Linked DNA regions of Macaca fascicularis. The protein of the gene in region 1 purifies or fractionates together with the protein of each later gene. This does not show direct contact. Links are inferred from orthologs where the notes say so. Each region holds a gene or a part of one and is shown on either strand. Other genes may lie near its edges.

The links.
Region 2: the proteins of FAM53C (region 1) and DYRK1A purify together in Homo sapiens (affinity purification with mass spectrometry; 8 studies listed by BioGRID and IntAct, counting the BioPlex papers as one, with this or other methods). This does not show direct contact. The link is inferred for Macaca fascicularis from reciprocal best matches to the Homo sapiens genes FAM53C and DYRK1A.

The regions. Positions count from the first base shown.
Region 1 is NC_088380.1:144,835,480-144,839,855, forward strand, and holds the start of FAM53C (protein FAM53C), read left to right. Parts: upstream 1-1,454; 5' UTR 1,455-1,579; exon of another isoform or gene 1,580-1,768; intron 1,769-2,181; exon of another isoform or gene 2,182-2,223; intron 2,224-4,376.
Region 2 is NC_088377.1:9,632,176-9,636,431, reverse strand, and holds the start of DYRK1A (dual specificity tyrosine-phosphorylation-regulated kinase 1A), read left to right. Parts: upstream 1-1,193; 5' UTR 1,194-1,526; intron 1,527-2,118; exon of another isoform or gene 2,119-2,147; intron 2,148-2,373; exon of another isoform or gene 2,374-2,979; intron 2,980-4,256. UniProt on the Homo sapiens protein: Dual-specificity kinase which possesses both serine/threonine and tyrosine kinase activities. Exhibits a substrate preference for proline at position P+1 and arginine at position P-3.

The DNA.
Region 1 (4,376 bases):
AAGTATGTAGTCCAAGTGTGGTGGTTCACACCTGGAATCCCAGCACTTTGTTTTTTGTTTGTTTGTTTTTGAGATAGAGTCTCATTCTGTTGCCCAGGCTGGGGTGTAGTGGCACAATCTCGGCTCACTGCAATCTCTGCCTCCCTGGTTCAAGTGATTCTCCTGCCTCAGCCTCCTGAGTAGCTGGGATTACAGGTGGGCGCCACAATGCCCAGCTAATTTTTGTATTTTTTAGTAGAGATGGGGTTTCACCATGTTGGCCAGGCTGGTCTCGAACACCTGACCTCAGGTGATCCGCCTGCCTCAGCCTCCCAAAGTGCTAGGATTACAGGTGTGAGACACCATGCCAATCCCAGCACTTTGTGAGGCCAAGGTGGGAAGACTGAGGCCAGGCGTTTGAGACTACCCTGGGCAACATAGCAAGACGCCTCTCTCTACAAAAATAGAAATAAATATGCTGGACACGGTGGCACACTCCTGTAGTTCTAGCTACTCAGGAGACTGAGATGGGAAGGATTGCTTGAGCCCAGAAGTTCAAGGCTGCAGTGAGCTATGATCGCTCACTGCACTCCAGCCTGAGCAACAGCAAAACCCCTGAGCAACAGCAAAACCCCGTTTCTAAAAAAAAAAAAAAAAAAAAAGCATGGTGTCTGGCACATAAGAGCAATTCTTGGAAACCATGTGTCCCATACTTCATGGCCCCTGACTCTGCTCCTTTTGCCAAGGGGAAATAGGCAGTGCAAGGTAAATCTCTCCACCCCTCTTTTCTCAGTTAGTACTGTACCTCACTTTTCTTTTTCAGTTTGCAGACTTGGTGACTCCTGCCTCCTCCCCTCCCTGGCTTAGTGAGGAAGATCCCTGCCACTGGCTCTACTTTCCAGCTGATCACAGCTATTTACCTGTCCCAGTCTTGAGTAAGGCACAAAATATTTACAGAAAACAGACGTCTTTCAGAGGACTTGCTAAGTGTAATAGTGAAGATTACTTGCATACTGCTACTTTCCAATCAATTAAAAAAAAGAAATAGAAAACTTTGTATTACAAAGAAATCACAACACGAACGCAGTTTAAAGCCTCTCCTTTATCCACTTTTTTGCTTGACTCCCTAAACCATCTGTGATGTTAGCTGAGACTCGAATTTACATAAGAGCCAGAAACCATCAACCCAACCTCTTCACACACTAACGTCTACATTCGTGTCTTTAAAAAAGACTTAAACTTTGGCTCATGTGGGAGGTGGTGGTAGTGGTGGAGACTTAATAAAAGGTGGTTTCGTCTTCCTGAAGTGGAAATATAGCACCGTCAACATCTTTTCCCCATCTGGCTGTTTCCTCCTTCCCTTTCTGTTTAAGGAAAGTGTAACCACCGTACTTCTCCCCACCTCGCCGCACCTCCCCCAACAAACGCAAGCAACTGAACCGCCTATGATGTCATAATCACAATCCCATTACCTCATCCTGCTGAGGGGGGGCGGAGAGAGAGGAGAGGGAGTGAACAGCCCTGGGCTATCCTGAGCTTTACAAAGTGTTCTGGGTGAGTGCAAATTACAGAACCAAGTGGAAACGTCCCCGCAACCATTGTAAGTTCTGGGTTTTTAAGGTTCAGGCCGATCCGGCAGCTGCAAGAGCGGCTCCTGGGACTCCGAGCAGGCCCTAATCGGCGCTTGGACCACACTTCCCAGCAGCCTTCACGCCGCGGACGGGTCCTTTGCTGGGGGAAGGGGGCTTCCTTCGCAGAGGTGGTCGTGGAGGGCGGGGCAGCCGAGCAGGTGAGGGGCACTGTGGCTAATGGCATGACGCGGGCCGAACCGAGTGGGAGGCTGCAGTTGGGCCGATGGAGGGAGGGAGGGCAGGGGCGATGCCTTTGTTTACCTTCTCCCGACATGGCCTCCCCCGCGGGTTTCAAGATGTACCTCCAACTGGGACCGTCCACTTTCTGCGATATTTTGGAGGGGGTGACTCGTTAGTGAGGAAACCACCCCCATCCCTAAATCAAAGCGCCAGGCTCGTTCCCGACAGCGCTGTCCGAGAGAGACTTTGAGAGAGACACGACACGAAGCTGCCCTCTCCGTGGGTGGCTCGGGGGGATTCTGCGAGCCGGAGCTGTCCCACTACTCTCCTCAGGGACTCGTTGGTTCGCGCCAGCGCCTTTTAAGGACACCGTGGGGCGAACGGAGCGCTCAGAGCTGCTCCGGCCGCGGCCCTGGGAGCTGGAGGAGCTGCGGTAGGTGGCGGAGGGCAGGTGGCGCTGGGGCCTCGGGGCGGGCACCTCAACTGTCCCTCCCTCCTTTCCTCTTTCCCCTCCCCCAGCCCGACCGCCCGCGCGGCCGGGCCTCGCAGGCCGCCTCCGCGGGGAGAGCACGGGACCCGGTGGGGGAGGGGGTGGCGAAGTGCTAAGTCCCAGACCCTCCCCATCCCTTGCGTCCTGAGTTCGCTTCCCGCGGCCAGATGATGGAACCTAGTGGGAAGAGGCGAACGACAGCCCCCCCTGAGCGAGCCCTGGCGCCCCCCCGCTCCGGGGACCAGCGGACGCCCCATGCCCCACCCCGCGGGGACAGGCAGGGCAACAGAGGGAGAGGTTGAAGATTGGAGGGGCCTAGCCTTTTGCTTCTTCATGGGGGTGGGGGGAGGGGTGTTCCCCACTTGTCACCCCTTTCCCCAGCAGAACCATATGGAGGAAGAGCAGGCAGGTCTCCACCTACCTGTTCATGCACCTCCCTGCCTTCCTCATGTTTTCCTTCAGTCTCCCCAAGAGGTGTGGGGCCGTGACCTGGGGGGAAGGTCCCCAAGGGATTTGTGACTCTCCTCCCTGTTGGCCTGACCTGATCCTACCTTGTCTAGGTTCAGCACAACCTCAGCATCCCTGAAACAGGAGTGTCAGGGGTTACTGCCATCCAATAGGAGATGGGGTGGGGGTCTGATCTTTATTTTTGGGGGCTGCTGGTGGAGGGAAAGCCTGAACTGAGAGTTAGGCCTGGTGGGGTTGCTGAGAGGGCCTAGCGGCCTGCTGCTCTCTGAAGGGCTGAGCCCCGTGCCAGTTGTTAAACTGAGAAGTTTTAACTTGTTTAGTGACTGTTCAGGGCTGTCTCTACCCTTCAGATACACAAAATGGAAGGGGAAGGAAGGCGGCAAGAGAGGGCTTCTTACACTTTTTTCAATGCCTGCTTGAGAAAGAGGAGGCCCCTCGCGGAGCTGGTTTGCCTTCTTTTGTGTCCTGGTTTGATTCCTTATGGCTTCCGTTCTGTTCCCCCTCTCAGCCTGGCCTGTTTTAGGAAACTCAGGCTGAGAGTATCAGTTGCGTGGTGGTAGTTGCATTGTTCCAATTACCGCTGTGTGTGGCCACATCCCAACAATTAAAATGCAGAAAAACACAAATTCACTCTCTTGACTTGATCCTAGAGATGGCTGGGAGTTTGCTGTTTGTCCAAATGCCTCATGAAAAGCTAGAGAGTTTGCTTCACTCCCTGCTCCTCATAGCTGGTTAGCCTGAGGCCTGGGGTCTGGGGGGTAAAATCCTGCACTTAGGTTCCCTCTCTGGTTGATCTTTGAGGGCAGCAGAGTTAAGAAACCAGGAGCAGAAGTAATATAAGCTTTAGCTTCTCCCGTAAGCATATAGGGGAAGCAGCTGAAGAGAGCTCCCCGGAAGCTAGAATTTTGTTCAGGGTGGTAATAATTATGCATGAAAATGATAGTTAACTATAACGATGATTGACTTCTCTTGCACCTTTCTTCCAAAGAACTCCAAATACATACAGGTTTATCTCTTTGCTCTTCCTTATGGCCTCCTCCTGAGGTGTGAGTGGGGTAGAGATAATTTCCTCTTCTTTGTAGAGTGATCTGTCCCCAAGGTCACAGAAGGAACAGCCCTCTTGGGCTTTTCTTAGTGTACAGGTGAGGGAGGATGGTATTCAGCCAGAGAGATAGACCCTATTGCCTTCTTCATCTTATTGATTTCATTACTTCTGACATTCTGAGGCCTTGAAGATTCACAAACGGGAACAAGAAATGGTAGTCTATGTGGACTCCTGATTTTTATAGGCCAGATGGTACATTTTGTACATTTTAATATGTTATATTGTTCCTGTGACAGGTTAAGATTATTCTGCCCACTTTACATATGGGTAAACTGAGGCCAGCGAGTATTAAATGATTTGTCAAAACTCTTAGCAAATTGGACTAATAATTAGATTTCTTGATGATTTGTTCTATTGACTAGCTAATGCTACACACATTCTCTGGTAAGCTGTCAGCTTGCTGGTCATTTCCGGGAATAGACAGAATAAAATCAAGACACTGGCTTAACCTCCCCTTTTCCCTTGAGCAAGGCCCCTCAGGTAATTGTGTGGGCTTGAAGCCTGTTCTCTGATACAGTTAGTT
Region 2 (4,256 bases), on another chromosome or scaffold:
AGATTAACTACGCAAGTTTCTTCCATTACCAGGAATAAAACTTTGAGTCAAATTTAATTTAGTACTAAAGGTTGCAAATGCTGACGTGCTCTGATAGAAGCGAAAGCTTGGTTAACGGGGTGGGATGGGGTGGGGGCAGGAAAGAGAGACCCGGGAGCAGAGAGGAAGGAGTTGGTTGTATAGGTGGAAGTTTGAGCTTGGGAGGAACCAGGTAGCGACCTCTCCTCTGAATAAGGGGCGCTCTGGGCCACTTCCTCTTTCTTCAAAACAATTAAGTTGACCGTGGACTTTAATCACATTAGCAGGGCAATTTTGAAACAATAATCCGAAAGAACTTTTGCCCGTTACGGCAACTTTTTTTTTATATTATGGAGATCAGTCTGAAAGCAAGCTATTTGCCCGATTACTTTTTGACCAATTTATTTTCGGTTTAGTCAGGTTTCTTTCCAAGTCTGTGCTAATCTGAATGGCTACCTTAGTAATTACTTTTTGACCAGTTTATTTTCGGTTTAGTCGGATTTCTTTCAGTCTGTGCTAATCTGAATGGTTACCTTAGTACATCAATGTCCTAGTAACTGTAGCAAGGACATTTTTGCTGGAAATCATTTAAAGCAGGTGTCTTTGAGTCATGTAGCATACACAGCGGTATTTACTGCTAGTTTTTTACACCTAATATCGTTTATAAAATTTTATCTGTTGCTACTATATTTGTGAGGTTTATGAAAAAAATTGGTTATGAACACTATCACAAGGAGGCAAAATCAAGCTTAGAAATCAATTAGTGACTCTGCTGTAAAATAGTACACACACACACTTTTTTAAGCTATACATTTATTAAATGCCATTAGAGCTGGTACAAAATACAATTTTTAGCTGGTGGCTCTATGCCGGTTACAACGCAGCCAGCATGGCATACTTGGGTTTTCAAGCCTCAGGAGCTCACCCAGCAATACATAGGCAGGCAGAAGGGGTAGACAGAATAAAAATCAGCGAAAGCCAGGATATTAATAAAGAGTTTTGATGGTTAAGGACAAGTAGGCAAATTAAGACGCTGGAAACCGAGGAGCTGCACAGAAAAGAAAACCAGGGAGCTGGACGACAAGGACACAGTAACAGCACAAGGGGATTTATCTAAGGGGCATTCCGATGGAGCAGGCAGGCTGCGCCCAGAAAGGTGGGGAGGGGTTGGAAGCAGATGGGCAGGGACGGGCGAGCGTGCACAGCCTGAAAAAGTTTTCATGATGGCTCCAGCCTAATTTCCCAACGCTGGTCTCGGGCGCCACAAAACCCGAGCGGCCCGACCGGAGCCGGGTGCCAGCCTCAGGGCCGCCGGGGCCCGGCGCAGCGTCCGGAATTCCTGCGATGTCTGGGGCCCGGCGGCGGCTCCTCCCCGCCCCCACCGCGGCCTCCGCCGGCATTTTCCGGCGAGGAGGCCCGCGAGCCCTTCGAAGAACCGGCTCCACGCGCGGCCGGCCGCGGCCGGCGCGCTTCCCGGGGAGAAAGGCGAGCGCGGCGTCCGGACCGCGGTGAGAGCCCTCCAGGCCCGGGCGTGCGGGGTGGGCTTCCCGGGTCCCTGCCCGAAGGCCGCGGCGCCCCGACCCTCCCCCTCCCCCGCCCCCGCCCGGGGCAGCCCTCCCCTCCCCCCGGCGCGGGCGGGGCTGCGGGCGCCAACGCGGAAGCGCGGGGCGCTAGGGCTGCGGGGGCGGCGGCGCGGGAGGCCGCGCGCGCTCCCCGGGCCGCAGTCGGCGCGGGCGCGGGGCGGGGCGAGGCGGCCGGGAGGCGGCGGGCGCTCGCGCACAGGCCTGGCCGCCGCCTCGCCCCCCCTTCCCCAGTCCCTACCCTCTCTCGGCCTAGCCGTCCCCCTCCTCTCCCCTCCCCCGGGCGAATCACGCGCCCTCCTCTGACACTCGTAGCGGGCCCGAGCTCCGAATTTATCCTTCACGTGACCTGAGGGGGTTGGGTGGTTGGCTGGGGACGGAGGGGGAGACGGAAAGGAGGGAACGGAATCTGCCGTTACCTGAGCAACAGGCCCCGCCCGCCGGATCGGGGCCGGGGGGCGGGAGGAGGACGTCAGCACGTCAGCCGGGGTTTTGCGTTTTGATTGACAGTTGCTATAGCGACCGGGTCGGTCCGTCGCCATTTTGTTGGTTGGTTTTTTTTTAAACCCTTTCGCTTCCCGCCCGAATAATAATAAAAAGCCCCATTGGAGTGAGGCGGGGGTGGCGGCGGCAACCGCGGCGGGGGTATCCGGGGAGACTGCTGCCGTCGCTGCTGCTGATCGCGGCCCAGGTCGGGCTCAGAGAGCGGACACCCCGAGCGGGGGGTGCGGGCGCCGCCGCCGCCGCTTCTGCTGCTGCTGTTCCTGCTGCTGCTGTTGGTGCCGCTGCCGCCGCCGGCGAGCGGGCGGGACCGGTGTGAGTGCGAGTGTGTGCGAGGGAGCGTGTGCGAGGGCGAGTGTGCGCGCGAGTGTGCGGGTGTGTGCGAGTGTCTGTCTGTCTGTGCGGGGACTCGGGGGCGGGCGGTTCGGGCTCTCCTGGCGGAGGAGCCGCCGCCGCCGCCCGGGCCCCGGCGCTTCTCGCTGCGCAGGTTCGGAGCGCGCGCCATTTTGTGAGATTTACAAAATCCTCCTCGGGAAGAAGCCGCCGGCAGCAGCCGCCGCTCGGCGCCCGGCCTCGCCGCCGCCGCCCTCTGTGCCGGGCCGGGCCGCGCGGCCCCGCCGCCGGGAATCGGGGCCCGGGGACTGCGGTATTTGCCGGGGAGGGGGCTGTCGCCTCCCCGGCCCCGGGCGCCGCTGGAACCGCGAGCCGAGGAGAGACTGAGCAGGCTGCGGCGCGGCCAGGAGCCGGAGCGCCGGGGGCGGAGAGAGGCGGCCGGGGCGGCGCTGGCTGCGGAGGCCGCGGCGGGAGCGGGAGCGCGGCGCGGGAGCCCGAGGCTGAGACTCACCGGAGGAAGCGGCGCGAGCGCCCCGCCATCGTCCCGGTGAGTGTCCGGCCCGGCCGCGGCCCCGCCCGGCTCGGCGCTCGGCTACCCCGGCGGCCCGCAGCCGGGCCCGAGCCGAGGCCGGCCGGGCGGAGGGAGGGACCTGCCATTTTAGGAGGAGGCGCCGCGGGCCCTGGGCCGGCCGCCGGGGGAGGGAGCCTCAGGCCCGGTCCCAAAGGAGCGGCGGGCGCGAGCGGAGGGAAAGTTGCGGAGGGTGGGAGCGGGGGCCGCGGCCTCCCGGGAGCCGGGGCCTGGGGGGCCGTAGACAGCGCCAGACCTTCACTGGCCGCCCGAGCGAAGGGGTGGAGGTTGTCTTCCTCCTCCTCTTCCTCCTCATCTTCTTCCCCCAGCTCCTCCCTCGTCCCTCCTCTCGGTCCCCACCAGTGTGGGAACCGCCGGGGTGCTTCGCAAGGACAATGCACGGGTTAAGAAAATGGGGCCGGCTGGGCGAGGACGGCGGGGCCGGGCCGGGCGCCGGGGAAGGTCGGGAGCCGCTGCCTCGGCGGCCCTGGGGGTCCGCGCCTGAGCGAGGGGCACTCACTGGTCTCCGATGTTGGGCGGGGAGCGCGAGTGTCCCCGGCGGCTCGGGGTGGAGGGATGACCTGCCCGGCAGCCGGGGGAGTTGGTGGCTGAGGAGAGGTGAATTAGAATGGATACCTGTGTATCGCCACAAAACTTCACGAGTCTATTTATAGGCACAAACCCACTCTCGCTTCGGAGCCACTGAAGCTGCTGAGCAGTTCAGCTCTTGGCCAAAGGCTCCTCCCTAATCTGAAATAGTTAAAAATGGTAAAATTAGTGAGTCAGTGACTTCGGTTCCTTGCCTGTGCCTTTAGCCCAACCCTAGGTGACACGAATCCCGTAATCTAGGCGCAGCGCAGGAATGCCAGCACCATTTGGTTCTTGAATTCCTCCCAAATTGTCAGAAAATACGCCTTAGAATATGGTTTTCACAAGTGCCAGGCGCTGTTCTCAGGGTTTTCCGTGGAGCGACCAGCTTGCCCAGCCGGTAGGAACTGTTCCCATTTTACAGATGAGGAGACTGAGCCTGGAGAAGGGGCACTGACTGGTCTGAGGTAATACAGCTGGGACTCCAGGAGCCGGGAAGCTGTAGCCAGTCTGGACTTGTGAATCACTAGGGTGTAACTTATTATTATAAATACTGGCAAATTTTGGAGTGATTCGTGTGTAATGACTCAGGGTTCTAACCTAGAGATTGTGTCCCCGTATGGTTTTTAGCATGGAATTAATAACCTTTGTGGCTTGCCGAGGCCGAA